Linked DNA regions of Diceros bicornis minor. The protein of the gene in region 1 interacts with the protein of each later gene in a pairwise test. Links are inferred from orthologs where the notes say so. Each region holds a gene or a part of one and is shown on either strand. Other genes may lie near its edges.

Evidence for each region.
Region 2: the proteins of MOB3C (region 1) and ZBTB10 interact in binary tests that used the Homo sapiens proteins (3 or more experiments, as listed by UniProt). The link is inferred for Diceros bicornis minor from reciprocal best matches to the Homo sapiens genes MOB3C and ZBTB10.

Annotation. Positions count from the first base shown.
Region 1 is NC_080752.1:9,460,383-9,476,263, forward strand, and holds the start of MOB3C (MOB kinase activator 3C), read right to left. Parts: upstream 7,525-15,881; 5' UTR 7,404-7,524; intron 4,045-7,403; 5' UTR 3,991-4,044; coding exon 3,573-3,990; intron 1,303-3,572; coding exon 1,100-1,302; intron 781-1,099; coding exon 751-780; 3' UTR 1-750. UniProt on the Homo sapiens protein: May regulate the activity of kinases.
Region 2 is NC_080772.1:31,172,020-31,187,981, forward strand, and holds the start of ZBTB10 (zinc finger and BTB domain-containing protein 10), read left to right. Parts: upstream 1-9,502; 5' UTR 9,503-9,578; coding exon 9,579-10,544; intron 10,545-15,962. UniProt on the Homo sapiens protein: May be involved in transcriptional regulation.

The DNA.
Region 1 (15,881 bases):
CCAGGGCAAGGCTCCCCTTCCTACCTCCCTGCAGCTCCCCAGAACTCATGCTTACGGAAGACAGCAGCCTGGAAGGTTCAAACATAGAGCTACATCTACAGCCACATTTTGTGTACTTACACACATGGTCAGACACACTGAGTGGGGACACTGACCTGTCATCACTCCTACAGTGGTCACGGTCTGATGGTCCCAATCCCTGCTCACTTTCTTCTTTCCTTCCTTCCTTCCATGTACCTAATATTTATGGAGGGCCTACTGTGTGCCAGGGAGGGTCAAGGGAGCTAGCTGTCACAGACATACCCCACAGTCAAAATCATGCACACACATACACACACACACACACACAGTTATCTGTGCTTACTCACACACAGGCTGCTTTCTTGTATCTTTCTTGCCATCACCTCAGCCACATCCACATTTTCCAAATACACTTGGGAACCACCATGGAAGGGTCAAGTATCAGAGCAGAAACTCTCTAGCCTACCCCGCCCCTAGACTTCATGCCAGAGGGTTAGCTGTTCCTTCCCTTCTCCTTGCCCACCTCTAAGCTCTCCCCTTCCCCATTCATAAGCAGTCGGGGAGACATGTGGGCAGACTTTTGAGAACCAGAAGTCCAGGGGCTTTGGGTGTGTGGACGGGTCCCAGGGCCTGCAGGTTCCTCTGCCACCAGACTCCCGAGGGTCCTCTCCCCTAGCCACTCTGTACAGAGATAATCCATCTGACGGGCAACAACGTCCAGGCCTGGGCTCAGTGACAGATCCGCTCTGTCATCTCCCTCTGCAGAGACACAAGGTGAGAAGTGGTCAGTCAGAGCTCACCCTACCAGACAGCCCCTTCCCAAACCATAGGGCCTGCTTGCTCTCCTGCTTCAGCCTGGCGCCTCCCTGCCCCGCTCCCAACTCCAGGCTGCAGATCTGGGTTTGTAAGCTGACACTTGAATGAATTCTCTATTAAAGTGCAGAATCCATGGTTAAAAGAGTTGCCTTCCCCTAATTTATCCACCTGGGTACTGGATTTTCTTAAAGCAGGTAGCCTTTGGATCTGAAGACACAAAGGCTAGCCCTGCTTGGGGAAGGCAGTGGGGGCCTGGCCTCACCAGTGGCTCCAGCTCCCGCTGGTCCACCAGGCTGAACTCGCGGATGAAGTAGTAGAAGTGCTTGTAGCAGGTGTTGACATGCGCCTCAGCCCCCATGCTGAGGATGCTGTCGAAGTGGTGGATGTAGACGTGGACAAAGACACGGAAGAGGCGGGTCAGGATCTTGGTGCAGACCTGCTGGAAGTTCTTGGGGAAGGGAACTCCTAGGAGCGGGGATGGAGAGAAGTGGGGGGATCAGCACCCTGATGATGAAACTCTGCCCAGCCCTGCCCTCCCCGACACAGGCAGCCTTGGCCCAGGATGCCCTCCTCCCTAGCACACTTCCCTGTGAGAGACAGAGAGAGATCATGACCACTTTCTCCCATCCTTCCCTTTTCAATGAAGCACAAATTTGACTGTGCCTCTCCCCTGCTGAAATACAAATCTTCTTCCACATTTTCCCCTCACCCCGAGCAGGACTCTGCAACCTTGTTGGGGTCACTGACTGACCAACCCTTCTTAGACTATGATGAAAGTTATGTCCAAATTCTCCCCAGAAACATGTGCATCTGCAGATGTTCTCAAATGATGCCCTTGGATACAATTCCAAGGGGAGTTCATCAACATCTGGGGTCCACTTTTAAGACCACGAGCCTCAGGATTAAGTCCTGACTTCCCAGCGTGGCGCCTGCACAAGGCCTTTCATGATCTGATCCCGACCTCCCTCGCCAACCCCACCTGGCTCCTTCCTCTTCACAACATTCACACAGCAGGCCTCAGATCCCAATCCTGAGAATTACTGAATCTGCAAGAACTAGTTCAGACATCTCTCATTCATTCATCTATCCAATCACACTTAGAAAGAACCTTCCATCTACGAGCCAGTCCCTCTGCTGGGCCCTCTGTACCTTTTGCCTGGTATGGTAGCCATTCTACATATGATAAGATGGAGGTACACAAAGGTGGAGCCACTTGCCCAAGGCCTCATAAGTATTCATCAGTATGGACTGGAGGCAGGATTCAAACCCTCCTTGCACTGCACTGCAGCACCCCTCAGAGATAAATGCCACACACCTTGCCTGAGAGAAGCTCCAGGACCTGTGAAAAAGGCACAATTTCTACACAGCCCCCGACACTCAAGGTGGAGATCTTGGTGGCTATGCCCTCTTCTCTGCTGTGGCAGAGCCATCCCAAGGTTAAGGCACAGGCAGCTGGGGTCTCACCAGCCCGGGGGGTCAAGGCTAGAAGGGAATAAGAGCCCAGACACAGCCCCACACTGGCCCACCCCACTCCATGGTGCTCTTCTCCTTAGGTGGGGTTGGGTGGAGTTGAGCCCTGCCTCCCTGTGAGCCCTTCCAGGCCCAGCCCAGGTCCCTCAGACTTGTCCTGCCCTAGACTTGGGCCTGGACCCTAAGAGACCTGAGCTGCAGTTCTGAATCCCTCCTGATTCAGTGTGCTGTCCCTCTCTTGGCCTCGGTTTCCTCCCATGTGAAATGAAGATTCCCATTGTTGGGCATGATAGTGCAGGAAATGGCAGGACCCCAGCTGGGGAGGGGCCGTGGGCACTGAATTGTGACTCAGTGCCCAGCTTCCCTCTACATTCAGACTTCTGCCCTCTGGGCTTGACCACCCTGCCCCACCCATCTCTGATTCCCATAGCCTTCACAAGGATGAACATGAGGCCAGGTGGGGGTGGGGCTGCTGTGATGAACACAGTGTCATGCCTGCTCAGCTCCTGGGCCAACACCCCCTCTTGTTGCCCTTGGGTGGTGAAGCCTGGCCAGGGTGACATCACTCATTTCTCCTTCCCACCCGCACCTGCCCAGGCTGCCCAGCTGAGATAAGAGAAGGCCCCATGGCTTGGGCCTAACAAGGGAAAATTCTGCCCTCAGAGCCCTCTGAGGAGATACCACCTGGCCCACCCAGTCCCCAGCCCCTTCCCTTTCCTGGGGCCAGGAGTCAGAGGGAACTTCCAGGAGGCTGCAAGTCAGATCAGCCCAAGCTTGGCAACCTGCTAGGAGCACTCTGAGCCACCTGTTTTGGAAGGTTCTGAGAATCACAGTGGCCCTGCCAGGTGGTCCCTAGAGGGACATTCAAGTTTCAGACAAGAAGAGCCCCAAACTGGGAGTCAGTCAGTCCCAGCTCAAGATGCCTGACCTTGAGCAGACACTTAACCTCTTTGAGCCTCAGTTTTCTCCTCTATAAAATAGGGATGAGGGGCCAACCCGGGGTTCGCAGGTTTGGATTCCCGGCACCAACCTACACACCACTCATTTAAGCCATGCTGTGGCGGCATCCCACATACAAAACAGAGGAAGACTGGCACAGATGTTAGCTCAGGGACAATCTTCCTCACCAAAGAAAAAGATAGGGATGAAAATCACCCCCCCACCCCGAATTGCTGTATCAAACTCCATGCCTCATCTGTGAAATGGGTTCCAGTGGCTCTGTCCCTCCCTGGCCAGGCCTGACCTGCCCATCAGGTGGCACTCACCAATGCGTGTGGGAAAGACATCCTCGTCATTGATGAGGCCCTCGATCCAGTCCATGAGCAAGGCCATATAGCGTGGCGCCGAGAGCTTGGCAGGCCGCCGGTACTGGCGCTCGTCCTGCCAGCGGTACTCGTAGCGGGGCCCTCCGGCCATGACCGGGCAGCTGGTCTCGCTGCAGCGCTCCGCCATGGTGCCGTAGATGAGGTTGATGCGGTTGAAGAAGTCCACCACGTGCACGGCAATCCAGTCATCGATGTTCTCGCCAGGGGGCAGCCTCACCACGCTGCGCAGGTCCAGGCCTGACTTAAGTGATGCCTGTGCCTTCTTATACAGCTCAAAGCGCTGTGTGCCAGGCTCGAAGCGCTTCCGCGGCCGGAATGTCTTGTCTTTGGCGAACACCTGCTTCAGGCACAGCGCCATGGCCAGGCTGGGTCGGGGGCCAGGGGTCCAGGGGCAGGACCTGTGGATGCCCCGCTGAGGCCAAGGGCACAGGGGAGCATGGTGGTCAGATCCTTACCAAAAGGGCTTTGACTTCCCAACACATCATTTCCCTCTCACTTCTGAGCTTTTGGCCAACCTCTGCAGCCTCTGTCTGCAATCTAAATCTTCCTCATCCCCTTGGTCCAGCACCCCTGCCCTATTTCCAGGCTACCCTAGCCCCTGCTGCCAAGCGCCCACAGCCCTCCCATCTTGTTTTGTTTCCTCTCCACTTTCATTGCATCTTACAGAGGGCTGGGCCTGGGCTCTAAACAGGTGCTCCTCAGACTTGCGGTTGACCATTAGAGAGGTGGCAGAGGCTTCCTGCAGGCCCCTCAGGAGGCAGGGGCCTGGACGTGACAACCTCTGGGGGCCTCACAGGCCAGCTGGTGCAGCGTGGGAGAGCTTGGCCACATTGTGCTAGGGGGAGGGGATGGGGGAGGGCCCCGCCTTTGGCTTCCTCTGGGATATCCCGTAGTCCATCCGGCCACCGGGGATTCCCAGGGAGCAGGAGAGACTTTTCTACCAAAAATGTCCTTTCCTTTCATTACCCTGAAAGAGGAAAGAGCTCTCATATGGCCAGCTGTGTGGCCTCTGAGTGTGGCCACAGGCACTGGAGGAGAGGGGAAGGGTGGCAGGTCTAGAAGGGAGCCACTTCCTCCAACAGTGGCTGGAGATCCTGCCCCCAAAGCTAGCCTCCTCCAGCCTGAAACCCAAACCCAAACCCAAACAAGCCACTGGCCCCTGCCACAGCCCCTGCCATTCAGGAGACGTTCTAGAGCACCTACTATGTGCCTAGCACCGGGAGGTAGGAAAATGCAGTCAGATCCACCCAGCTGGGCCCATCTAGAATTCAGACAAATTTGCTTTGCCTTTTAGAATTGAAGGATCTCAGACTCAGAACAGACTTTGGGGACAACAATGAGAGCCCGAGGCTTGGAGGCAGGAGTCCTGGGTTCTAGTCCCAGCTCTACCATGGCTGGGTGACCTCTGTAGCAGGCATGGAATTGGCTCATGCAACTTCCTGGGTCACTCTGATACTTCCTGGGTCACTCTGGTACAGGCGAGGTTTCTGGGACTCCTGGGGCAGTCATCTCACATCTCATCTCCCCTGTGAGCGTGTGAGCTCTTGGGAAATGCAGACCTAGGTACCTGCTGAGACTGGAACTTAGGCACAAACTGAGCACTGGCCCTAACCCCAGACTGAGAACCGAGCTCTGGCTCCAGGCTGAACTCTGACCTTGCCCTGACCCTGGTCAATGTGAGTCCTGGACTCTAGCCCTGGACTGAGGCTTGAATACAGCCAAAAGCCTGGCCTTGGCCTCAGAGCTGACACTGGAGCCTTTTCCCTTCTCATATCTCTAGTAATGCTGCGACAGGACTGGGGAAGGAATGATGGGAACAGGGTGACGACTGTGTATAGCCAAAGTCACAGCACATATGGGTGGGGGGGAGGTGTCACAGCAGGTAACAAGTCAAGGTAGTAGAGGAGAAGTTTGGAATGAAGGTTCTTCCTTGTACCCACATCAGGCAGGCCAGGAGGGGAGAGTTAAGTAAAATGAGAGGAGTTTGGAGAGTAGGGGCAGGTCTCCCAGCAGAATCTTGTCTTTTTGAAAAAAACCTCAAAGATGTGGCAGGTCATCTTATCCATCCTCTGCCCCTTGACTTCTCACCCAAAGAAGTCCCCAGAGTGGGACCTGAGCTTCCTGACCCAAGAGGAGATTTCCACGCTTTACTTGCCGCCTGTGTTCTAAATTCTGCTTGGGCAGGTGCTTCCAAAATCGCTCACACTAAATTCAGGTGAGGTTCCTGGCTCTCCACATTCACACAGCCCCCTTGACTGAAAGTTACTAATAGACTCTCACCCTGGCATTCAATACCGCACCCTACCTTTCCTGCCCCACTTCCCTACACCCACCACCCTGGGCTTCCTCCCGATCCCTGAACATGCCCCCCACCCTCCTGCCTCTGTGTGTTTTCTTACATTGGTCCCTTTGTCTGACTACACATGGTCAGGTGGAAGGCTACCTCCTCCCACAGGCCCCTCTTCTGAACCCAGAGCTCCTTCTCCTTGGGTGGACGCTGCTCCTTGGCCATTGCTGTCCCCCAGCCTAGGTCAGAGCCTGCGACACAGTTGATGCTCAGGCTTCAAGGAAAGCTTAGAATAAAGAATCTCGGGGTTGAAATAGGCCTGAGAGATAACTGGTCCAACCCACTTCTTGTACAGATAGGGAAACTGAGGCCCAGAAAGGGGACTTGAGGAGACTGTGTTCACATAGCAAGTTACAGGCAGGGGATCTTCAACGGCAGAAGAGGGAACTGGGAAAAGGTAGGGCTCAGCCCATGACAATGAGCAAAGGGCCATTTTCCTGCACTGACTTGTCGCTGGTCTGGTGGAGATAAGGGAAAAGGATGGGAGTGCAGGAAGAGGGGACACATCTTCCCACCGACTAGACCAACCTAATTCCTGCTGCTCCAACACACTAAGCACCCCTCCTCTTCCCCCACAAGCAGCTTGGGTGTCCTGACCAGTGAGCCAGAGTCCCACCTTCCTGCTGCAGAATTTCAAGGTCTGGGCCCTTCTCCAGGAAAATGTAAGCTTGGGTGTGGGGGGATTGATAGGTGCCCTTCCATCCACGCCACTTGTTTCTTCACTTCCCACTCCCATGCCCTTACTGAGTTTCTATCCCTCACAGAGCCTCTGTCCCCTCCCTGAACCCTGGCAATTCCCCCTCCTAGCCAGTTTCCTAACTCTGGGTGTCCTTTTACTCCTAAAGTGGCCAGTGATGGCTCACACCCTGAGGGGGGATCTGGGCTTCCCAAATGAAGACCACAAAGTGGCCCTGACTGTTTCTAACAGTTAGCCCCCTGCCAGGGCCACACCTGCACTCCCCAGGCCTGGCCCAGGATCTTGGCCAGGGGATGGCCCCAGTTTGAACCCAGAATCCAGCCTAGGGCAGTGCCATGTGGCGGGCGCCCTGCAGGGCAGAGATCCAAGAGAAAAGTAGAGGCAGAGACTCCATGCTCTTCCCTGGCGCTCGGCCTCCCCCGGGACCCCCTGACCCCCACCCCTCTCCCTCGCCCAGCTGCCAGGACAGACCGGTCGTAGGACCCATAGGAGCAGGCCTGACATTTCCGCTCCGAAAGACACGCCCCTTTCAAACACCGCCACCCCCTCAACCCCGACTTTCGTAGCTTTGAGCCTCGGACCCCGGACCGAGGACTGCGGCCAGCCTGCCTTCGGGCGGAGGTCGCCTCCGGACAGTGCCACGCCGGGGGCAGTCGAAGAAATGAAAGGGGAAGTAAGGCTGGGCCGCGTGCGCGGCGGGGGCGCTGGGGCGCGGGCGCTCACTCACGGGGTCCTCGTCTGGCCGCGGGGTCACATCCCCAGCGCCGTGGGTCGCCTTCTTCTGCCAGTCCTCCCGCCCTGCCGGTTCTCTCGCCTGTCCGCCGGCCTGCCCTGCCGGGTCGCTCTCGCCCTCCCGCCCCCGAGGCGACGCCGGCTCCGCCCCGGTCCTCCCCGGCCCCGCCACGCCGCGGTCCAGGGGCGGGGAAGGGGCGGGGAAAGGCCCCCCCCACCCCCAATGCACAGACACACTCTCTGTCGCTTTTCCGTAAAGTCCATATCGCACTCCCAGCTTCCCCAGGTGGCACTCTCAGTGTCTCAGACTTTTACCAAGGAGGCAGCCTCAGCTTTCTCGACTGTAAAATGGGGACAAGCTCAGCTTCTGTCTGGAGCAGAAACAAAAGATTTGCTAGATAATGGTGGTTTCCTTTCCCTCCTAGAATCAAGTGTGTCTCACTTGTCCCTGAGTTCAATAAGAGATCAGGTCTGCCCTATACACTTCCATGCCTTCAGCTCCTGGCAGAGTGCCTGGCACATAGCAGGCACTTAGTACCCATTTACTGAATGAATGAATGCCTTGGGAATCATGAGTGAGTCCCTCACCCCAGCACTTGGCAGTGAAGAGTGCTCAAATCACAGACTTTCACCTCCCCCACCAGGGCTGGCGTCACTGCTCAGACTGGGCTGATTCTCCTCACTCCTCACCCAGAATCACCCCATTTCCCACCACCAGACCTTCAGTTCCTGCTGTTCTCACTTTGGAATATCTTCTTTTTCTCCTTCCTTCCAACCAAATCCAAACCCTTCAAGACCTGATCCCCTCTCCTTACTTGTCTACCTAGGTTCCTCCCCTGAGGGCAGACAGATATCCTACACCAGCTCAATGCACACTGTGGGCCCCAGGCCCAGGGACCAGTTGGCTGGTTCTGTCCTGGGATGGGAGGGAAGGTTGGAGATTTTCTAGGGTAGAAGGGCCAAGACAGACAGATGGGCTGCTGAAGTCACCCTGGAGGGGTGTGGGAGGTGAGCAGGGGGAGGTAGGGGAGAGCTGGAGGCTGGAGGTGGGCATTTATTGTGGTGCAGATGCCTCACTGGGCTCCCCTTGTGTCTGGATCTTCTGCTTGCTAGATGGCATGAGAATACGCTGGATCCTTAAGAATCCCAGCTCACAGAACCGAGGATTTATTCTTTTGTTGAGCATCTACTTTTGTCCCCGTATAAAGTTTTCTTTTTTTTGCTGTCTGAGTCTTAACTCTGCCCCAAATCCCCTATAAACAAACATTTGCGTGCTCTAGTGTATGCAGAAGGAATTCAAACTTAGTCTTTCATTTGTTTGATATCCTAATCAACACCCGTTACTGAGCATGACTCTGCACTGAGAGCAGGGGATCAGGTGATGAAGCTGCCTCAGCCCCTGACCTCAGCTGACCACAGGTCCTCAATGGGGGACGACACACAGAGATAACACAAAGTCAGAGCTCAGTCTTCTAGAAGTGAGAACACTGATGGTGAGCACTTTCTAAGAGTGAGGTTATCTACAGGAAACATGTGGAACACCCAAATTGGGCACTTTGAGGAGAGTTTCAAGAAGGCATCATTTAGAGGTGTAGTCAGGGTATATGTAGACCACACAAAGGGCTAGCAAGAGCAGCCCTTTGCTGTCTACCCTAGCCTGAAGGGGTGCTGGGAGGGAGTGGTAAAAGTGGGAGCTATGAGGAGGGGGCTACTGATGGGAGCTGTGGCCTAAGCTCGAGGGGCATACCCAGCCCACAGCAATCATACTGTGAAGGACTGGGGGAAAAAGGGGCCTCACTTCTCTCCCTTGCTCTGATCTCTGGCCTGGTTTCCCCACTGGCCAGATCCTACCCTTGTAGCCAAAGTCAAGGGAACCTGTTGATGCAGCGCATAGAGGTCGGCCTCCTGGGGCCTAGAGCTGGGAGGAGGAGGGTGAAGGGTGCATCTGGGGACAATGGAAGGCACGTAGCACATGGGCTCAGGGACTTGACTTCACAAAGGAAATAGAAACTGCTTGTGCTTTCCTTATCATTCAGTTCTAAATATTTCATAATTTTATTGTCATTTCCTCTTTAACCCATGGATGATTTAGAAGTGTGTTTTTTAGTTTCTCAGCCTATGGGAGGTTTATGTTTTTCTTGTTGACTTCTAATTATGTTGCATTGTGGTTGGAGATCATGGTCTGTAAGATTCTTTGGAATGTGATGTGACTCCCTCTGTGGCCTTGTCTGTGGTCATTTGCTGTAGCTCCGAGCTGGGTTTTATAGGATGGGCAGGAGTTTGCCTGGTGAAGAGTGAAAAGCACAGAATCTTACATTGTGGGAAATATAGATGATCCATTTTGAAGGAACTTCAGAAGTTCCCAGCTCATCCACAGAGCCCCTGGGTGTCAGTAAAAGTGGACAGACAGGTGGAAAGGAAGCCAGGTGGAAGGCTGGGAGAAGCCAAAGATAGTCCAGATCTCTCAAGCACCTGTACCCCTTCCTGCAGCTCTCAGTCTGGGCTCGAGAGACCGTGTTCTTTCAGGAGGCTCTGCTGGGGCTGAGAAGACCCAGACCATGGAGAACAAGGTTCTGGCTTTATCATGTATTAGCCGTGTCATCTTGGTTACTCCTGCCCTCTCTGATGGCATGCTGTTCCCTGCCACTGTGTCCTGAGTATAAGTGGCTCAAATAAGGCCCTGTCTCTGAAGGTTGGTAGGAGCCAGCGAGAAGCTAGTTGAGGACATACCCTCTCCCACTGCACAGCCCAGGCTCCTCGATGGGAGCTCTAAGTGGCACCAGAGTGGTCTCCAGACCCGTGCTCCTGCCCTGCTGTGTGTCTCTGGGAAAGCCTCTGCCCCCCTCTGGGCCTCAACTGGCCCATCTGCATCACAAAAGCATCTTCTAGCCATACCATTCCAAGTGCCTTATTGGGACCAGCTTCCTGCTCCTGCCCCTGTGGGCCTGTACAGTGACTCCACTGATACAGGGTGGCCTCTCCCTGGGGGCTCCCCAGCCCTTCCTTTGCCAGGAAAAGTCCTCCAGCCCCACTCCTCTCAGAATGAGCTACAATATCCCCAGCTCACTCCACCAGGCACTGGCAGGTCCTGTAGCCTGATGGGGCCTGCCTCTCTTCACTCTCTCTCCCAAGAAAAAGTTTCTATTCAGCTTCTGCCCCGCCCTGCCCAGAAGACAGGATCTCCCATCCTGGGTCTTCCATGCTGGCACATGGAGGAAGAAGCGAAGGACACCCTTATGGCAGTAAGAGGAATTGAGGTTCGACTTCCTTTACCTTGAAGAAGACAATGTTCAAGGGAATGTGACGGGGAAGACAAGGTTGAAAAGGATATACATTAAATTTCTGTGTGACCTTGGGCAAGGCCTTTATTCTCTCTGAGCCTATTTCCCCTTCTGTAAAACAGAAACAATAACAACAACAATAATATGTGCCCCACGGAAGAGCTGTGAGGATCGAATGTGAGAGCCCTTGTAAGCAGCAGAAGGCTGTGGCCAATCTTTTGGGGGTGCTGCCTTCAAGCACCCAGAGGCTTTTGCGTAAAAGAGGGATTGCACTGTTCCTGTGGTCCTGGAGGACAGGGGCAGAGACCTAGGACAACACAGGAGGAGACAATCAGCACACCAGAGCTGTCTAACCACGCAGCCTGGATGGCTGTACTCATTTCTCGGGAGGGAAGTGTGCACACTCAAGTGGCACAGCCCCCTGTGACACGGGCTTCAGAGGGTTTCAGTCTCTTTGAAGAGCAGGAGGACCCTCCTGACCCTGAGAACCTCAGACTCCAGTCTCTGTGCTCCAAGGTCCTCCTCCCCCCCAGCTCCCCATCCACCCCTTGATTTGGAGGCTTTGCCCTCACCTATCCAGGTCTCAGGTCTTCCATCCTGGGAACGAGACCTCAAGAGACTGCGGTGGAAGCCTGGTGTGCATAAGGGCCTTAGGATAATTTCACAGTCTCCGCATGACCTGACCTCCAACATGTCCTGGTAGGCCATGCCCCCTCCTCCAGGTACATACTCTCCAACCACTTAGGTTAGTTCCCAGGTCAGGGGTGTCCCAGGAGTGGAGGGGATAGTTGGGGAGTGTGGTTCACCAGTGTCTCAGGCTCAGTCTTCCATGGAACCCACCACAAAGCCTGCACAGAAGTTCTGTCCAACTCTACCCCTTCTTCTGCCACGTTCACCTCCGGGGCTGCCTGCCTGGAGCACCACCCAAGTTCAAAGCCCTTCTGCTACAGGAAGCCTCCTCAGACTGCCCCAGTTCCCATGGCGCTTTCTTCCTTCTTCCACAGCATCCTTTCTCCAAGTGTCTTCAGTAACACCTGCCTCAGAGTCACCAGTGGACTATCTAATTCTGACCAAGCCTGGCAATCTAACTCTCAGTTATAGGAAGGACTGGAAATAGAGGAACAAGTGAAATGACATTGTCGGGGGGGATGAAATCAGCAAAATCCGGAATGAGGAAAATGCTATAGGGCAGATTCTCAACAAATAAACGGCAAGAAAACAAAAGAGATGAGGGGACATCAGTAAGTTAAAAGTGACTTAATATGGAATACTGCTCAGCAATAAACAAAGCAACTATTGATACTTGTAACAACTTGGATGGACTTCAAGGGCATTATGCTGAGTGAAAAAATTCAATCTTAAAAGGTTATATACTATATGATTTCATTTATGTAAGTTCTCAAAATGACAATATTATAGTGAAGAACAAATCAGCAGTTGCCAGGAGTTAGAGTTGGGGAGGACAGTGACTATAAAGACAGAGAACAAGGGACTTTCTTTGGGTGACAATTTTGTATCCTGATTGTGGTTCCACAAACCTACACATGTGATAAAATTTCATAGAACTATATACAAAAGGAAAAAATTTAAAAATGAGTACATAAAAAAACTAGTGAAATCCAAATAAAGTCTGTAGTTTTAATAGTATTGTACTAATGTCAATTTCCTGGTTTCAATAATTATACTATGATTATGTAAGATATCATTGGGGGAAGCTGAGGGAAGGGTACACAGAAACTGTATTATTTTTGCAACTTCTATGTGAGTCTAAAATTATTAAAAAATAGAAGTTTTTTTAAAAAACATTTAAAAGACATATCCAGTTGCAAGGTGTGGATCTTGTTTAGATCCTGATTTGAATAAATCAACTGTTAAAAAAAGTTATGAGATAACTGGGGAAATTTGAATATGACTGTACATTTGATAATATTAAGGAATTGTTATTTATTTTAGGAATTTTTTTTTTAAAGTACTTGTCGTTTAGAAATATAAACAGAAGTATGTGTGGATGAAACAATATGATGTCCAGGATTTGGAGGGAAAGTGGGTTGGGGTATAAATGAAACCAGATTGTCATATGTCGAAAATTTTTTATGTTCAGTGATAAGGACTTGGGGTTCGTTATACTATTGGCTCTACTTTTGCATATGTTTGAAAATGTCAACAAAAAGTTTAAAAAAGAAAACACACAAGTGGATTTCTGGGCCTCTCTCACAGAGATTTTGTTTCAGTGTCTCTAGGGTGGGCTCAGGAATCTATTTAGCAAGCTCCCCAGGTGATGTTTATATAGAAGACTAAGGTTGGAGAACTTTTGCTATAGACTAAATGTGTTCCCCCCAAATCACATGTTGAAACCTAATCCCTAGTGTGATGGTATTTGGGGGTGGGGCCTTTGGGAGGTGATGATGTCATGAGGGTGGAGCCCTCAGGAATGGGGTTAATGCCCTCATAAAAGAGACCAGAGAGCTCCCTTCCCTTTCTAACATGTGAGGACATAGTGAAGAGATGGCCCTCTATGAACCAGGAAGCAGGTCCTCATCAGATACCAAATCTGTGGGTGTCTTGGTCTTGGACTTCTCAGCCTCCAGAACTGTGAGAAATAAATTTCTGTTGTTTATAAGCCACCCAGTCTATGGTATTCTGTTATAGCAGCCTGAACCGACTAAGACAACCTCTTTCTGTTCCACATATGACTTGTGGGGTGGGATAAAAATGGGGGATCTCCCAGAGGGGTGGGATGATGTCTTCTAGTAATAACAGTAGTAAATTAGTATAGTTTTAACATCTTAGAGAGACAGCATGGTGGGGTGGAAACAGCACCTCTGTTTCATTCATTTGTTCATTCATTCCTTCATTCTGTCAGTATTTACTGAGGGCTCACTAGATGTCAGGCACTGTTTCCGGGCCAGGTGCTGACCTTGCTCTTGCTTTGTGGGTGATGACAAAGGCCTCAGTCTTCTGAGGAACTTCCACCAGGCCCAGGTGTGGCACTTCATAGCTCACAAGACTGAGGCTGCAGAAGATCATTAGCAAACAACAGGTCAAGGAGGGGGTAGCTCCAAAGGGGAAGGGTCCTTGGCTATCAGTCTAATCTCAGAGTACGTGGGAAAACTAAGGCACAGGGAGCAAAAGGGATCAGTAATGATAATAAAACCATTCCATGAACCTTCTATATACCTGTGCTTGAGACGCCTTGTCTCATTTCTTCCTCTCATCAACCCTGGGAGGGAGGGAGGTTTGTCTTTCTATAGCTAAGTTGTCCTTCCCTCCAGAGGGAAGGATGGAGGGGCGGGAAAGAAAAAGACAGTTCCACTAAGGGAGAAGCAGGGATTGGACATGTTAGGATGACACTGCAAACTCTGCCCTGCAGTTCTCCCAGGAGGACCCTTAGGCCCCATCTTGGCTTCATTTCCTGGAAGTGGGAAAACTGTGTCCCCTATAGCCAGGAAGCAGCAATTCAGGCAGTGGGCAGGCTCGCTTTTTGGTGGAGCCTCACATTGTACCCTGTGGATCTGGATTCCACAGCAAGTACAGCCTGTGACTTCCCGCCTGTCATGGGGCCGCATTTGGGGCTTTTTCAAGAAGTGGTTACAGGAGCGCAGCTTTGCCCAAGGCTAAGGGAACTAAGGGTGTGCTCTTCTTTTCCAGGAAGTCTTCCTAAAATATACCAGCTGCCTGGAACCAACCCTCCTCAGGGGGGAGCCCTTGGCATAGAAAGTTCTTAGTGCTTGCAGATATGCTCCTTTGGTTAAGCACATGAAATTCCGTCTTCTCTTTTGGACTGCAAACCCTGAAAAGTGGGCTCTTATTTATTTTACCTCCTCCCACGGAAACTTGTAGCAACAACTGACAGTTGTAAGGAACTTTCTGGTTTACAAAGGGCTTTCACCACTCTGGTCACTTCTGAGTCATGCAACAACCCTCAGAGACAAGCATATGCTCCAAAAGGTGAAATGACTTGGCCAAGAGGCACAGCCTGAAAATAGCAGAGTTGGAACTCAAACCCTCCTAACTCCAATCACAGGCCCCCCGCACCCACCCCACACTGCCTGAGCACTTAGCAGATGTTCTGTTTAGGAGCTATCTCATATGACCCACCCAGTAAGTTAGGGAAAGGAGAACAAATCAGTTTGAAAAGCTGATCTCATCCCAGAAATCTTCCCTAGAAGTAAACAATAATCAAATCCTTGTTTTTCAGATATTTTCCAGTTGGGTTGCCTGGGACCAAAGTGCAGAGAAAATTTGCAACAAAGAGATAGAAGAATGTTGCCACCAACACTAGACACTTTTCTAAAAATGTTCTCCTGGGAAAAAAATAGATGATAACACAGACACTTGTGCCTGATCCATATTAAAGCAATTAGCATTAAGTTCATTGACCATCCTCAGTAACCTTGACACCACCTTAGATTTCTCACTCACTCTTTCAATACCCTTGCAAAATCTGCTGAGGTAGGTCATATTCCACACAGATAGAGAATATTCTACATAGAGAGAAAGTCATTTAATGTGAGCTAAGGGTAGGAAAGGAGAAAGAAACAGGAAAGAGACTAAGTACAGTGAAGAGAAGGGGTTCAGGAAACAGAAGGCTATCTGAGGGTCACTTGGTTTTTAATGTAGAGGGTCGCCTGCCTCTGGGAAGAAGGCACATGGTAGACCACCACTGAGATACCAGAGCTTCCCTGAGACCTTGACAGCATTTCCCTCTCCACAGGGGCGTCCAGCGGACACAGTGCAGGCTGCTGGCTCTGAGAAAAACTGAGAAGGGCAAGAAAGTTCCAGCTAATCAATCCCAGCTCCAATGGGGTGTGAGTCTCCCAGCCAAGCTCTGTAGTGAGTTCCCATCCATCTCCCATCATCATGCCCTGCCCAGCTCTCTATACATCATCCCCCTCTGCTCCCTCACCACAGGCAAGAAAGAATGCACACAGGATAGATGGAGAACTTCAGTCTACACAGGCAACACACAATTCTCCAAGTAGCCGATGGGCCAGGCACAAATAATCCAGTGCAACAGATAATCCAGCATTTGGCTTCAGGAGTCACGAGCCTGGGGAATTCTCAGCTCTCACAATCAAACAAGGAAGCCATCTGGACTCCAAGAGTCTGGGAAGGCCTCTGCTCTCCTCTGTTGTCCCTCAAGGTTGTCACCTGAGACATCCTAGGAACAGCTAGTCTCATTCCAGAAATCT
Region 2 (15,962 bases), on another chromosome or scaffold:
TACCATTATAATTACTAGTGCACATTTGGTCAAAGCAACATAAATATGATATTAAACATGACGGAAACATTTATTGAAAACACATTTCTTAATTAGCTGAGTTTTTTCAACCAATTAATGTGCCAAGAATTTGTTTACTAGAGTGAGAAAGGGTTTGTCATACATTTTATTCCCTTTTTTCTTCTTTCAAATACATGCTGAGAACATTCATTCACAAAAAATTATGGATGGTGGGAATAGAAGGGGCTCTGTTATAGCTACTCACAAAATTTTTTAAAGCACTTCCAAGTGATGTGCAAAAAACCCTTAGTAGGGGCCGGCCCGGTGGCGTAGCAGCTAAGTTCTCGAGCTCCGCTTCGGTGGTCCAGGGGTCACCGGTTCGGATCCCAGGCGCGCATGTACACACGGCTCATCAGGCTGTGCTGAGGCGGCGCCCCACATAGAGCAACTAGAAGGATGTACAACTACGACATACAACTACCTACTGGGGCTTTGGGGAGAAAAAAAAGGAAAAAAGGAGGAAGACTGGCAACAGCTGTTAACTCAGGGCCAATCTTCCTCAAAAAATAAAAAAACAACCCCTAGTGATCTATCGTTGTAAATTATTTTTAATGATCAACCAACACTTCACTTAGGTCCTTCTTTAGTTTTGTTGAAAGCAAAAGCTGGAAACCTTTAGAGTTGCAACAGCATGGCTACTAAGTGATTAGGGACATTTACTTTCTCTGTCCCTGGTGCCCCTTTTCCATCCTGGGGCAATGTAACACGGTCAGACTAGAGATGGGTGAAAGGTTTGCCGTTTTTGGTGAACTGGGAGAAGGGTGATTATGAAAGGGTAAGCGGGAAAGGAAAACCAGCTTGAGAGGCGCATTCTCCAGAAGTTCAGTTTTTTGGAAAAGGAGTGCATATGGAAGTTGAAAGCCTGACAACTAATTCTGTTACAAGCCAGCTATGTGCTCACATATCCCTTGGAAATTCTTTGTATACCTCCAGGGCTAAGCATACCCCAGTTGGAAGAGCCCTGGACTAGACTTGCAAGTATGCGAGTTTTCCTTGAAGCAGTTACATTGCAATCCCAGGACGTACCCTCAATCTGGAACACATGGGAGAGCCACGCGAATCACATCTTTGGGATGGTGCGTTTCTTTTGTAAAGACTGACCTCATGATATACACTGATTCATCAGCTTTAGTTTCAAAGTATGGCATTTTCTGACCTTGACATTACCTACAAACCCTGGGGGGAAGGAGTTACCTTATTTGGCATTTAAGCCCCCTATGAAGTTACTGCATCAGGTTGTGTAGAAAGCCTTGTTTTAGGGTATTTCTTCATAGCACTGTACATGTAAGGCCTTGGCATCTTTCTCCCTTCCATACTTTCTCACCTGATCCTTCTGAAGCTAACTGGTTTGCACTGGTAAATTTATGAAAGAGGTGGATTAGTGTGAAATCTGTCATGCCTGAACAGAGCCTAGCTAATCGAGCTATCAGGGATACAAATCTGTGAACCAAACAGTATCTGTAACTAAATATTTGGGATGGATCTCCTACAAAAATCAGTAATGTATATGTGGTTTTAATAATTCAGTCTTCAATAAAAATAAATATTTAAACCCCTACCTCTACTCCATTGTTCTCATTCCTCGCAGCCTATATAAAAATTCATATTGTAAAAAGAATCTATTTTTGTACAACTCATATAAACAAAGGAGGCATTTTACTTTTTACTTCATCTCTCTGAGAATACAGTGAGCTAACTCCTATTTGTGATTTATTAGACGACAGAGAAACTGCAATCACAAAATGGTTAGTTATCATTAAATCTGGAATTTTTTAAAATTTTTAATTAGAAGCATAACTTCACAGATAAAGCAATGTTTTTGTATTTCTGTGTATTTTTAATGACCTAATAGTTTTAACTGGAATTATTTTTATTCACTAGCCTTAATTTAAAAGAATTTCAAAACAATCTTCCTACAACCATATACGTTATGGTATGCCTTACGTTGTATAACATGCAAATATCATCACCACTTAAAACCCACCATAACATCTCTGTTCTACTAGTAAACAGAATGCAGTAAAACTTTGATCTATGTTTTAGTCTTTTGTTGAAAGTTCAAGGTTGTGTGCACCTAGTGCTTGCAAACTTGCACATTCATTGATATTGATTCATTCAACAAATCCTTACTGATTGTCTAAATGCTGGAAATACAATATTGAGCAAAACCAGAAATGGTCCCTGCCCTTATGGAGCTATCAGTTTATTGGGGGAGTATGCAATAACCAAATAATTACACGTTTAAAAACTGCATTTGTGACAAATGCTGTGACGGAGAGTTAAAAAATGCTAGGAGAGTCTGCAACAGGATATTTGAATCTTGGGGGTGTGGGTGGTCAGAGAAAGCTGCCTTGAGGAAGTGATCTAAGGAAGAATGTGGGTTAATTAGGAGAAGAGACGGAAGAGAGTTACAGACAGGGAACAGCTTGTGCAAAGGCCAGACAGGGATCAAAGCAAACATGAAGGACAGGAGGAAGCTAGCTTCTGGAGGAGAGTGTTGCAGGAAGTGGGGAGCCGGGCATGAGACGAGGCTGGAGCGGTGGAAGGCAGCCAGACCTTGCTGGGCTCTGCAGGCATTTAAAAAGTGTTTTGAGATGTAGACCAACAGAAAATAACTGAAAGCTTTGTAGGGTTTTAAGTGTGGGTGGGGTGATTGGATCAGATTTGCATTTTGAAAAGATTACTGGCTTCACAGTAGGAATGGAATGGAATGGAGGGCCAGAATGTATGCTTTATTGAGATACCTGTAGATGCCTCCCTGGACATATGCATATCAACCTAAGCTTTTGAAAAATACATAATGTTTTAAAGGGATTGGAATTTTCTGAGAAAAGAAACACTGGTTTTTATCTTTTAAATCTTTTGTTTATTTTTGGGGGGCAGGGCAAGAGTGGTTCACAATAAGTGGAGAAAAGGAAGAATGAATAGTACTCCTTCCCAGAAGTCCTGGGGGAAAACATGTCATTGATTATCAAAATAAACTTTCTCCCCCCAAAATAAAAATAGCTTTATTGTTTTTTTGGATTATATACTCAATATAAATTGTATTCTCAATATAAGACAGTACAGAAGGTGTATTAAGAAAGTTTTCTAGAAACTGAAATTCTACTACTGAGATAATTATTGTCCCCATTCTGGTGAACATCCTTTTAAACTACTTTCCACGCTTATATTTACATACGAACTTACGTATGGGTCTAAGGACTATGGCTGTTTTGTTCAGCAACATAATTATGCCCAGTGGCCTTGGACTTACATAATACCACATCAACCTTTTTAATAGCTATCAATAATTCATTACAGACATGTGCCATAACGTATGTAAATAACCCCACACTGATGGAAGCCCAAGTTTTTTAGGCTTTTAAAGTGCTACAATAAACACCCCTGCACAGACATCTTAACAACTGTCAAGGAGAAATTCCTAGAACTGAAATTGCTGGGTAAAAAGATATATACACATTTTATATTTCGATACACATAGCCAAACAGCCTACCAGAAAAGTTATTCCTATCTACATTCCCAACTATATTCATTTTCCTATACCTCTGATGGGTTAAAAAATTACTTACCCACTGGTGTTTTTATGCATACTTCTCTGATTATTGGCCAAGTCTGCACTTCTTTTCATATGTTTACTGTTATTTCTTATGTGATTTTCTGATACATGTACTTTGCATATTTTCTTCTTCTACTAGATATGTGTTTGTCTTATAGATTGAGTCTTCTGTGATGAAATTATTAATGATATTAATGATCAATGATATTAAGCTTTTGTCTGTCATATATATTCCAGATTTCTTTTTCTTAGTTTACTTTTAAAAACCCTTGTTTATTATGTTTTTGAAAAACAAAGGTTTTATAATTTATATAGTCAATTCTGTTAATCTTCTCCTTTAAGGTTTCTGGCTTTTGTGTTCTGCTTAAAACTAGGTCTTTCACTCCCCAATATTATAAAAATACCTCCCTAATAGTACTTTCTTTTGGCACTTTTTACACTTTTGAGAGTGTTTCTGAAGGGTAGTCATGTGATACTAATAAGACTTTATTAAAATGTCCATTCCCTTTGCCAGAAATTCCCCTTTTAGAATTTATCTTAAAGAAATAAGTTTAGTTTAGTTTAGTTTCAGGGATATTCACTAAACAATTGTTTATAACGGCAAAAAAAACCACTATAAACAATGAAAAGTTCAACAATGGAAGACTGGTTAAATCAACTATCGGATATCCATAGCCATTAAAATGGTACTTAAAAACATTTAATCATATTAAAACATACTAATACTAAAAGTACAAATATGCTAAGATCTAATTCATAAACACTAAAAAACAATTTTAGCTAGGCACAGAAAAAGACAACTGTATTTACACCATGGTGATTAGTTCTGGGTATTGAAAATAATGGGTGATCTTTTTTCTTTTTTTTTTCTCCAAGAGCACATTTGAACAATAAAAAAAAAGTTTAAAATTTAGTGTAGCCTATAATTATGCAGATATAACATTGTTAAGTGTCTCATGTGTGTTTTAGTAGCTAAGGGTGCCTTAGGCTGGAGGGTATTACTGTTGTCTGCAACCTTATAAACTTTGAACAAATTGGTTAACCTTTCTGTACTTGGCTTTCCATTTGTTAAATGAGGATAATACTCCTTACCCTGATTTAACTCACAAGGAGGCTGTGTAAACTGTCTGTAATTCACTGTAAGCTACAAAGAAAATGGCGCTAATAATATAATTTTATAACTATATGATTATCATGGCTTTTTTTTTGCTTAAACTCTTTTATTGAGGTATGATTGACACAAAAAGCTGTATATATTTAATGTATATAACTTGATGACTTTGGAAATAAGTATAAACCCGTGAAACCATCACCACAATCTGTGCCATAAACATATTCATCACCTTCAAAAGCTTCCTACTGCCCACTTTATTATTTTTTTATAAGGACACTTAAGATCTACCCTCTTAGCAAAATTTTAAGTATACAATACAGTATTGTTAACTATAGGCACCACACTGTACAGTAGATCTCTAAGACTATTCATCTTGTCTAACTGAAACTTCGTACCCTTGACTATTACTTCTCCTTTCCCTCTCCCCCCAACCCCTGGCAACCACGATTCTACTTTCTGCTTCTACGAATTTGACTAGATTCCTCATATAAGGGGTACCATAGAGTATTTTCCCTTTTGTGTCTGGCTTATGTTACTTCTCATAACGTCTTCTACGTTCATCCATGGTGTTGCAAATGGCAGGATTTCCTTCTTTTTTAGGGCTGAATAACATTCCATGGTATGTATATATGATTATTGTTGCTTTTAATATAAATGCAATGGAAATATTAGCTCAATATCTTTAAAAAGAATATTTTTTTACTTAGCTACAGAAAAAAACAAGAACAGAAGAAAATGTTGCCTACCAAAAGAGACGGCAAGGGAAGTTAAATTATTCAACAATTTGAATAATTTACTAATTGCCTACTATGTGCCAGGGTGGGGTTGGGGTAGGAGAGTATAAGAGTGAATAATACAGAGTCTCTATTCTCAGGTACTTCATTCTGGTGGATGACACGTCAGTTCTACAGACAGAATCACAGGCCACTGTCCCCAGAACCTAAAGAGGCAAAGCTCTCACAGAGGCAAAGGGCCTCTCAAGGCAGTAAAGGACACTTAGGTTCAACCATTGAAAATCAGCTGAACCAGGTATAGGAGCTCAGCCTCATCACCAAGTCATAGCGGGAGATGATCAAGGTAACCTGCAATGGTTTTACATAGCCTAAAGTGAAATTAGGGGACAGACTGGTTGGGGATGCCCCATTCTTGAGGGGTTCCCCTGGTAAGTATAAAGGGGAATCCCCTTAAATATGGTAGAACCCCAACAGTAAATATAGGGGCTAGAGAGGAGAACAGATCCATGCTTGCTGGTAGGAGACTGGAAGGGGTGGGGGAATTCTTAAAAACTCCATTTACAGAATAGGAGATCCCCTTCTGTTACTCAAAGTTCCCTTGTACAGGGTATTCTGAGACATTTGTGAATACTATCCTCTTGAACTTTGTTTCTGATTCAATCTCCCTTCAGGGTCTAGAGGAAGACAACTGAATATACCTTTATACACATAAAATGATAAAAATATAAATACATACACACACACATACGTATACCCCACACTCACACTGTTTGGCTGTTAGGAGTTCAGTGGTCCTAGAGTCTACGTCATTCATTTGTACCACTTGACTCTGTCACTCATTCCTAATTAGTCCACGTTTAAACATAATTCCAGAGAGAAGACAATGTGCATCTAACAAAATACTTATATTTTGTATTTATTGTACTTATATTTTGTATATATTGTACTTATATTAAGATAGATGTCTGAGAAAAATACACTCCTGACACAATTAACACCATTATGGATTCAAACAGTTTTGGTGATTCTGACGTTCCCAGAAAGCAAAAATAATAATACTGGCATAAACTTATACAGTGCCTATTATGTACTTACTAGGCATATGAGACAAAAAGAAGCAAAGATATGAATTTAACAGTTTTGGAATGAAAACAGCATTTAAAGTTGAAATAAAAATTCTTAAGTCCATTTTCACTTCCCATCACTTTAAGCCTAGATAAGCAATTAACTTCAGTTAACTCTTACCTTCTTTTACGGGGGAAGCAGTGGTGGTTAAAATATAATAAATAATGTATTTATTTGCAAAGTGCCTGGAATTTTAAAAATGCATTAAGGATAAAGCACAGTATTATTATAACATTCTTCCATATATCACATAGAAGCACATATTATATACAGCCAAGCAGGCAGAATCCTCTCACTTCTCCAAGGTAAAAACTAGGACAATGTCAGAGATTCTGCAGTCCTAAACTTGCCAACAACTAAAACAAAGCAGGACAAAATTTTTAAAAAACCCACCAACTGTACCAATCTGAGGACCTATATCCGAATTTCAAGCTGTTGCTCACTGGTGGCCAGGTGAAAATATGATTATTACTGGAAAAATAACTCACAGCCAAAATCTTTTTGTGGCAGGTTAGTAGCATCATTTTTTACATTAAAATTACATTTCATCTATAAGGTAGAACTAATGTTTCTTGTTTGATATACAACACTGCTTATTTACACAGATATCAAAATTACAGTTAATTAAGTGAAAGTTGCTTTGAATGAATCTATACAATCAATAGTATATGCGAGTCTGGATGTGCATGTATGTATTTAGTCCATTTAAAAATAATTAAGACAAATGGTATTTTATAATATGTCTGGGGAAATCTGTTTTTTAAAGTTAATCTTGAAAAACCTACCATATTCAATATTATATATTCAAAGCTTTAAATATTGTTATTTTAAAAATAGAAATTCCTGAAGAGAACAGAATCATAAAACTAGAGGGCCTAAAAATTGTAATACATCCTTTTTACAAAACATAATATATAACTTTCCATAACATAGGTTAAAGCCTCTAACACTAGATAATCTCTAACTGTAAAGAGTTCATGTGTATTTCTCATTTTTCTATGCATATCCTTGTATTCATGAAAAAATGTATCCTGCCATATAAATATCCTTTTTTTCCACTCAATAATTATCTTGAACATATTTTATATTAGCTTGTGATGAGATGTTCAACATATTTCTTAAGAGTAACAAGACCCTTCATAGTTTGAGAACATCTTTCTTACCTGAACTAGGTTTAAATAATTTAAGATTCCATATTTTAAAACAGTAAAATGAGTCTGAACACTTTAGAATTTGCTAAATTTAGCGTCTTGAAATTTTATTGATTTATTTTTTAATTTTTTGTTTATTGCAGTAACATTGGTTTATTAACATTGTATCAATTTCAGGTGTACATCATTATACTTCTATTTCTGCATTAGCGTCTTGAAATGTTAAAAATAAGGAGCATAAGGGCTCTAAGTTGCAACACCTTTTTCTGAAAAACTCGACCAAGATGATGATGGTAGGAGTTTCATTTCCATCTTAATTTGTTCTTCTCATCATTCTAAATTCCATCTGCAACGTACACGGTTAACAAAAAACAAATCCTAAAAATTGATTCTTGCCTCTGAACACACCGTCTTCGGAGTCGCACACCACGTCCGTATCAGCAGACTCCGCCCCGCTCCTGGGGAAAACCCTAATATTTATAACGTTATGACATACTGTAATACTCACAAGGTGGTTGTAGAAGTATAAACACGACTGCGCTTATCTGATTGGCTGCTGGTGATGTAACACCCATGTCAATACTTCCCAGTGAACGCACGTGTTCGACCTTTTATTTAAATTTCCATTTCATCACAGCAATAAGACACTCGGGGCGGTGCGTTCTCTGCCAAACGATTACCGCCCGGGGCCCGAGGTGCGGCCCGGCGCACACAATGCCCCGGCCGAGGAGGTGTCCGTGGCCGCCAGCTCCTCGCGCCCCAGGCACCGCCTGGCCCCGTCTTTGTGAGGGGACGCCCTAAGTTCCCTGCCCCGGGCACCGCCACCCACGCCCAGCACCAGACGCGGCCGGAGCGCGCGCGCCGGCGGCACGGTCACCCCCGAGCCCCAGGTGAACTCGTGGCGCGGGCAGGGCGATGTGCGCCCCGGGCGCGGGGAGGTGCGCGCGGGCGGCGGGGAGGCGGCCGGCCCTGACACTCGCCAGCTGCTCGTCCTCCGCGAGCCCGGCCGCGCCGCGCACGCCCGCCCCTCCCCGGGACCCCCGGCCTGCCCGGCCTTTGTCCCCCGCCCCGCGGCCCACTTCCTTCCCCGCGGCCGCACCCCCGCCCCCGGGCCGGCGGCGCGGCCCGGCCCCTTTCCCGGTCCCCTGGCGCCCCCACCCCACCCCGGCCCAGCCCAGGCCCAGCCCCCCTCCCCCCGCCCGGCCCCCACCCTTTCCCCCTCCAGCGGTTACTGCTACCCCGGTGCATTGTGGGCGCACGGTCCGTTGTTCATTTGCCATTCGACCTCCGCCAGGGCCTGGTCGGACGGAAACGCTCCGCCGGCTTTATTGTCGGCTCGTTATGTGGCGGAGCGCGGCCGTGTAACGTGCCTCTCGGCCGCGGCGCCTCGGGAGCCGGCGGCGGCGTCGGGACTCGCCGGCGCGCCGGAGGAGGGATATCTGTCGGAGGGTCGGTGTGCGCGCGCGGCGTTCCAGCGGGGCAGCCCGGGGCCCCGCACTCCGCCGCTCAACTTCGGAGGCCCCGCGCGGCCCGGCTCGCCGCTCGCCTCCCCGCCGCCCGCCCCCCTCTCCGCGCGGGACGCTGCCCGGAGCGCCGCGGGGCGGGGGCGGAGGACGCGGAGGCGCCCGGAGGCGGCGGCCCGGCGGGCGGCGGCGGACGCGTGAGGCGGCCCCGGGGGCGAGCGCGGGCCGGGCGGCCGGGCGGGAGGGCGAGGCCGGGCCCCGCGAGAGCGGAGCGCCGGCGCGGGGGCGGGGGCGCCGCGGCGGGGAGCGCGCGGGACGCGGCCCGGGGCCGGGCGCGAGCGGGGCGCCGGGCGGCGGCGGCGGCGCGCGCCATGTCGTTCAGTGAGATGAACCGCAGGACGCTGGCGTTCCGAGGAGGCGGGTTGGTCACCGGCGGCGGCGGCGGCGGCGGCGGCTCCGCGAACAATAACGCCGGCGGGGAGGCCTCGGCTTGGCCTCCGCAGCCGCAGCCGAGACAGCCCCCGCCGCCCGCGCCTCCGCAGCCCAGTGCGCGGGGGGCCGACGAGGAAGCGGAATTGGAGGGCCTGGAGCCGCGGGACCTGGAGGCCGCCGCCGCCGCGCCGGCCGCCGACGACGCCAAGGAGCTGCTGCTGCCCGCCGACGCGGGGGCCCCCAGCTCGCTGGGCGGCGGCGGCGGCGCGGGGGGCCCCCTGCTCGCCGAGAGGAACCGTCGGACTCTGGCCTTCCGCGGCGGCGGGGGGCTCGGCAACAATGGCAGCAGCCGCGGGCGCCCCGAGCCCTCGGCGTGGCCCCTGAGGCATTTCAATGGGCGCGGGCCGGCGGCCGTGGAGCTGGAGCTGGACGCGCTGGAGGGGAAGGAGCCGGTGCCGGACGGCGCGTCCCTGAGCGACAGCAGCGAGGACGAGGAGGAGGGGGCGAGCCTGGGCGACGGCAGCGGGGCGGAAGGCGGCAGCTGCAGCAGCAGCAGGCGGTCGGGCGGCGATGGCGGGGACGACGCGGAGGGCAGCGCCGCGGGCGCGGGCGAGGGCGAGACTGTCCAGCACTTCCCGCTCGCGCGCCCCAAGTCCCTGATGCAGAAGCTCCAGTGCTCCTTCCAGATCTCCTGGCTCAAAGATTTTCCCTGGCTGCGGTATTCCAAGGAGACTGGCCTTATGTCGTGTGGCTGGTGCCAGAAGCCCCCCGAGGACGGGGCCAGCGGGGACCCTCCCCAGGTGGGGCACGACGAGCTTTCGCGAGGCACCCGCAACTACAAGAAAACCCTTCTGCTGAGGCACCACGTCTCCACCGAGCACAAACTGCACGAAGCCAACGCCCAGGTACGGTAGCTCCTGCTCCCACTTTTCAGACCTTTTAGGGCAAGATTTGTCCCCTTAAAACCACTTTCCTGGGTGAAGGCATCGTTCCCGTTGGGAGAGAGGTGCAGGGATCTTCCGCGTGGGGGTTTGGAGAGGCTGGGAACAAGTTTTCGAAAGTTATCAGCGTTGGGGGCGGGGAGGGGGGTGGAATGGCAATTTTCTAATCGCAGCGCTGAATTTGGCTTATTTTTTTATGACTCAGATTTCTTGGCCCATCAGATTAAATCAAAAGGAAAGTTTAATAAAGCGAGGTTGAAGGTTTTAACCCTAAAAGGTTGATTTTGCGGTCGAGAATTTTATTTGCTGTGATTTTAGAAAAGCTGCCTTATGTTCGTAGTCTTTTAGCGTGCTGGTGGAAGTAAAATCTGGCACATCTTTGAAGAATGAATTAAACAGTTTCCTTAAGGTTTGACGCTACCCTTTTCAGGAAAACATCCAACCGAGAAAATTCTATCATCAGGTCAGGATAATGTGAAATATGGGAGTAGTATGTAAATATAGAGGAAGCTATTTGGATAACACTCCTTTTTCTTGTGAATAATTTTACTAAATTCATCTCCGTTGAACTTCTTGTTGAACTTTCTTACCAAAGGTGTGCCTTTGGTAAATTATTGTAGTTTTTACTTGTTTCCTTCTACCCAGATTTCTGTGCTGAGATTTTCTATAATCCCTCTTTTCAAAAAGTTTCTTATAAATGCAGTTTACATTAAATTTAGCATATTAGAAATGTTTAATACGAGGTTGTTTGTATCAAGTAGTTGATTTAGACTGGTAGGGAATATATTTACCAAACTCCTTGAAATTGTAAGTTACAAAACAAGTAAGCCATATTTTAATTCTTAGTACTTGCTTTAATATTTCCAGTCTAAAGATAGTAGTCTTAGCATTTCAATAATCCCTTTTCAAGCCAAACAGATGTTGATCACTCCTCCTTTTAAGACTTGTAGACAATCTGTGGTGGTGGATGGAATTCATTCTTTTGTATTGGTAGCCGGTCATTGGTTTTAGAGAGGCAACTTTCAGATATTAGTCCCTCTGTATTTTTATTGGAGTGATCTTGCTGTTCGGAACTCTTATACTGGAGTTAATTAGGCACTATCCAGTAAGTCCGTAGCACAGATGTTTCTCAGAAGTTAAGGCTTTAAAGCATAGGGTTATTTTTCCCAGTGGACAGTGGCAATAGGTTTTGCACAAATTTTAGTTGCCTAAGCCCTAGAAGGAAGGTCACTTAAAAATATAAGGCCTAGAAAGCTTAAGTAAATTGTCCTAAGTCTTAGAGTCCTTAGTGACAACTGAGACTAGAGCCTATGAGGAATGTTGTAATGGAAAAAGAACGGGTTTTGGAGTAAATCTGGGTTCAGATCTCAGCTTTCTGCAATTACTAGCTTTGTGAGTTTGGGCAGTGGAGTGAAATAGAACTAACAGAAATAGAACTAACATTTCCTTGTCTTCCATATGCCAAACACACCTTTACCTTACTCTCCAAAGTAAGTTCCCATTTTACGGAAGAGGAGTCTGAGGCTCTAAAGGGTTAAGTAATGTATTCTTGAAGTTATTTAGTAAGATGATGGAGGTGGGGGACTTGTGAAAATGAAAGTGTACTTTTCTAAATAATGGTAGGTTGGTTATTTAGAAAATTTTAGAAACACAGAATGAATTTTCTTGTTGTACGGTGGACCAGTTTACTCCTCATATCAGCATCTTCTCTCCCTGTAGGCAAATCTGAATGGGAATGCAAATTATAATTAGCTGCTTAGTGAACCTGAAATCAGAGGAAGGGGAATTAGTTGGATAACCTTATAATAGACTTAGCATCCTTCTCCCCTAGGCATATATCTGGATCAGGAAATTCATTCCTAGGTAAAACCTTTTCTCAACTTGATCTCTGAATTATCCCTCCCTTCCCCTTTGTCTCTTTGAAACTCCCTTTTTATAGATACAATCTGCAGACCATCTTTCTCTTAGGACATTCCTTCATTAGACTGAAGACAGTATACTTTAGTAAGGCATGTTTGTCTAAGGCTATGTATTGGTTCCCTTGATTGGATTTTGGATGTTTCCACTCTGAACTGATCCTAATCATTTCTCTATTTTCATTCTAACTAACCTTAGTTTGGGGTGTTACTTTGCTGTTGACCCCTGGTACCACCTACATAATCTCTTTGTCTTGTTAGTATGAGTGACAGTTTCAACTGACTTATTTCTTCCTTTGGGCAGGGTTCAATTTTTTTTTTCCACTGCCCTGTAGCCTTTGATACCTGTAGGAGGCAGTATAACACAGTCTGTAAGAGCCTTCTTGGGCTTAAGGTTAGGAGGACCTGAGTCCTAATCCTCTACTTTCTTGGCAGGCAAATAAATGAGTTAACGTCTAGCTTCCTCATGTATGCAAAGTATATATGCCAGCACCTAATCACTTAGTAAACGATAATCATTATTGTGATCGTTACCCATTTTCATCGCAGATAACTGTCCTATAAGAAGATTGTGTGTGTGTGGCCTGGTACTTCATGTCTCAGTGTTACCAGTTCTGTCAGTTTGGGAGCCACTTTACCTCATGGAATCACTCTTGATTCTAGAGAGCAATCCAGTTCTCCTTTTTCGTACCTTCAGAGGCTTTAGCCATCCAGTTCTTTGAACATCCTGAGACTTTCTCATCATGCATGCAATTTTTCTCAGCTTCATGAAGAATATCTTGCATTAGTTTTCTCCTGCCTTAAAAGTATTGAAATGAGAGTCCTGAAGTTCTGCAGGCAAGAATTCAGTTTGAGGCCGGGGGCAGTTCATTCTATTTGCCTCACATACCCTTTTTTTTTTTTTAAATTTCAAGGAGGCTTGTTTGAGAGGAGTTGGGCCAGATCTTAGTATGTCACTAAGAGTTACCTTTCTTTCTTGGACTTTCTGTAAGAAAAGTCCTTTTTCATTAATTCCATGGAGGTAACCAAAAAATTGTAGCGGATACTTAAAAAGTTTGATATTTTTCTGTTAATCGGATGTTGGTTGTTAAGGAGTGCTCATGGGAGAGTCTAAATATGCTTTCGGAATCTGTTCTGAGCCTTCTATTTCGGAGAAATCCCTGTATTCTTTATAAGGATGTGAGTATAAGGATGTGCAGGACAACAAATAGTTTTTATTTTGAGTGACAACTGACTGTATCTTCATAGAGTCAAGTTCAGTGATTAGCTCATACAGGATTTGACCGTTTGGCTCAAAGGACTTTAAAATTGCTTTAATAATAGTGATTACCAGTGTATCTTGGTTTAGATCACTTTCTACCCAATTGTGAAATTTTTGTAGCCTAAATTACACATTCTGTCAACTCTTTGCAGTTTACTAAACCTAAAACAAGCACTTAAATGTGTTATTGTTATAGATTTAGTTATCTACTTCCCAGAAAGTAGACAGCTGAATTCAGATCAGTGATCTGATTGAAATTACAAATTGTAGTATGTTGAGGTCAGTGGCTAAAGCAAAGGTGGGACAGATGTACCAGCCCTCTTTGCATTTGGCAAAAATAAGGCTCAAAGGTTTGTTTTTAACAATTGAGGAAGAAAGTCTGAAAAACCTTCCACTAAGAAGGAGAAATAGATATTAAAGATGAGCCTATGGCCCATTAAAAACCATTTTGTCTAACTGTATAGGTTCTAACATTGATTGTGTTCGATTCAGTAAGAACGGGTTCATTCCCTTGTGTTTTTCAACTTTTTAGTAGTGTGTCTTGGACTATACCTTATAGTGTATCTAAGATTGGCTTCTTTGTGCCCTTTTAATTTACTTACTTAGCAGATGCAAGGCACTGGAGATAAACATATAAGTAAGAAATTTTCTCTGCCCTCAAGGAACTTGTAGTCTAGTGGCGAGAGACAGATGTGACAATAAAATGATAGATACCATGTTAGAGGTGTGTTCAGGTTATAGTGAGGACACTAAAGGAAAGAAGTCATCAGTTCTGCTTGTGAAGGTTAGGAGAAGCTTGTAGAATTGGCTCCTGAACTTAATTGTGTTAAATGAGAATAGGTGTTGAACAAGGAGGGGAGGGCACTCCAGGCACTGCATTTGGAAGCAGCACGAGCAAAATGGAAATTGATGTCTTGATTTGTCCGAGAAGTGGATAATTTGGTTGCTGAGCAGGATGAAAAATCAAGTTTGAATAGGTAGACAGACTCCAGGTTATGGAATATCTCTTAGACAGACTCCAGGTTATGGAATATCTCTTGTCACGCTAAAATTGGATGTATTTTATTTTGTTAACAAATGGGCAAACTATTTAGCAGTTTTAAAGAAAGGAAAATTATGATGAAACGTGTATATGTTGCTGTTTAGAAGCACCTGTGTAGTGTGTGTGGGTTTTGAGGAGAGAGCTGGTAATAAAGCATATCTTCGGTATCCAAAGTTGGCTGGATTTTATAATCGCCTGAAGATTTCCACCCGAGACCTATAGATTTAGAATTTCTGGGGATAGTACTCAAACTGCAAGAAAAGATGCCATCACTTTAGGAGATCGTAGAGGTTATCAGAGTATTGTGAAGGAGACCTTCTGTCTTTCTCTCCTGGCTGTTAGAGTTTGTTGGTACCACTAGCAGGCATCTATTGGGCATCACGTTTGCTGTGGCCTTGTTTGTCCTCATTCTAGAAATTGAATTTGATTTTTCTCTAAAATTTGGATTTGGAAGTAGAAATTGATGTTTTGTTCTTTCAATATACTGTTCCAGTGGGTTGCTGCAACAAAAGTAGTAAAGATTTTTATATTTTTAATGCTTTCAGTTTACACTTTGATATTTGTGTTGGAAATGTCTTTTTTCCTGCTAATCCCTTTATCAAAAGAGAACTATAATTCTAGGTAGGGAAGTAAATACTAATTACTTGTTGATTTTTAGTTAAATATATTTTCTTATCATTTATGGATTGACCACAGATGAGCTCATTGTTTACAACTGAAGTTCTCTCTCCCATTCTCCCCTCAGAAGTGTGGGGAGACTGGGTTGTGGTTTTGGATTCTCTACGAGTTGGTGGCGTTAGCTAGCTCCCTAAGCTAGAATGCTGAAGACTCTGTGATTCCCCCTCCCCATCTAGTTAATCCCTCAGATCCTGCTGATTCTTACCTTCCAAATATGTTTTCAGGGTCTGCCTCACCTCCTCTTCCTCCCATTAACATTGTCCCTCCTCCCTAGTTAGGGGCCTTGTTTCTGGCAAGTATGTTACACTGTTAACAGTAGCTTCCCCATGTCACAGTACCTCTAGTCTTAGTTCCCTGATATTAACCCTCCACTTTGCCACAGTCATTTTATATCTGCTAATCCAGTCAGATCACTGTGCTCCTAAAGCTCTGTAAGGCACCTATAACAGTGGTTCTTAAACTTGTGGGGAGTTCAGTCTCTTTTG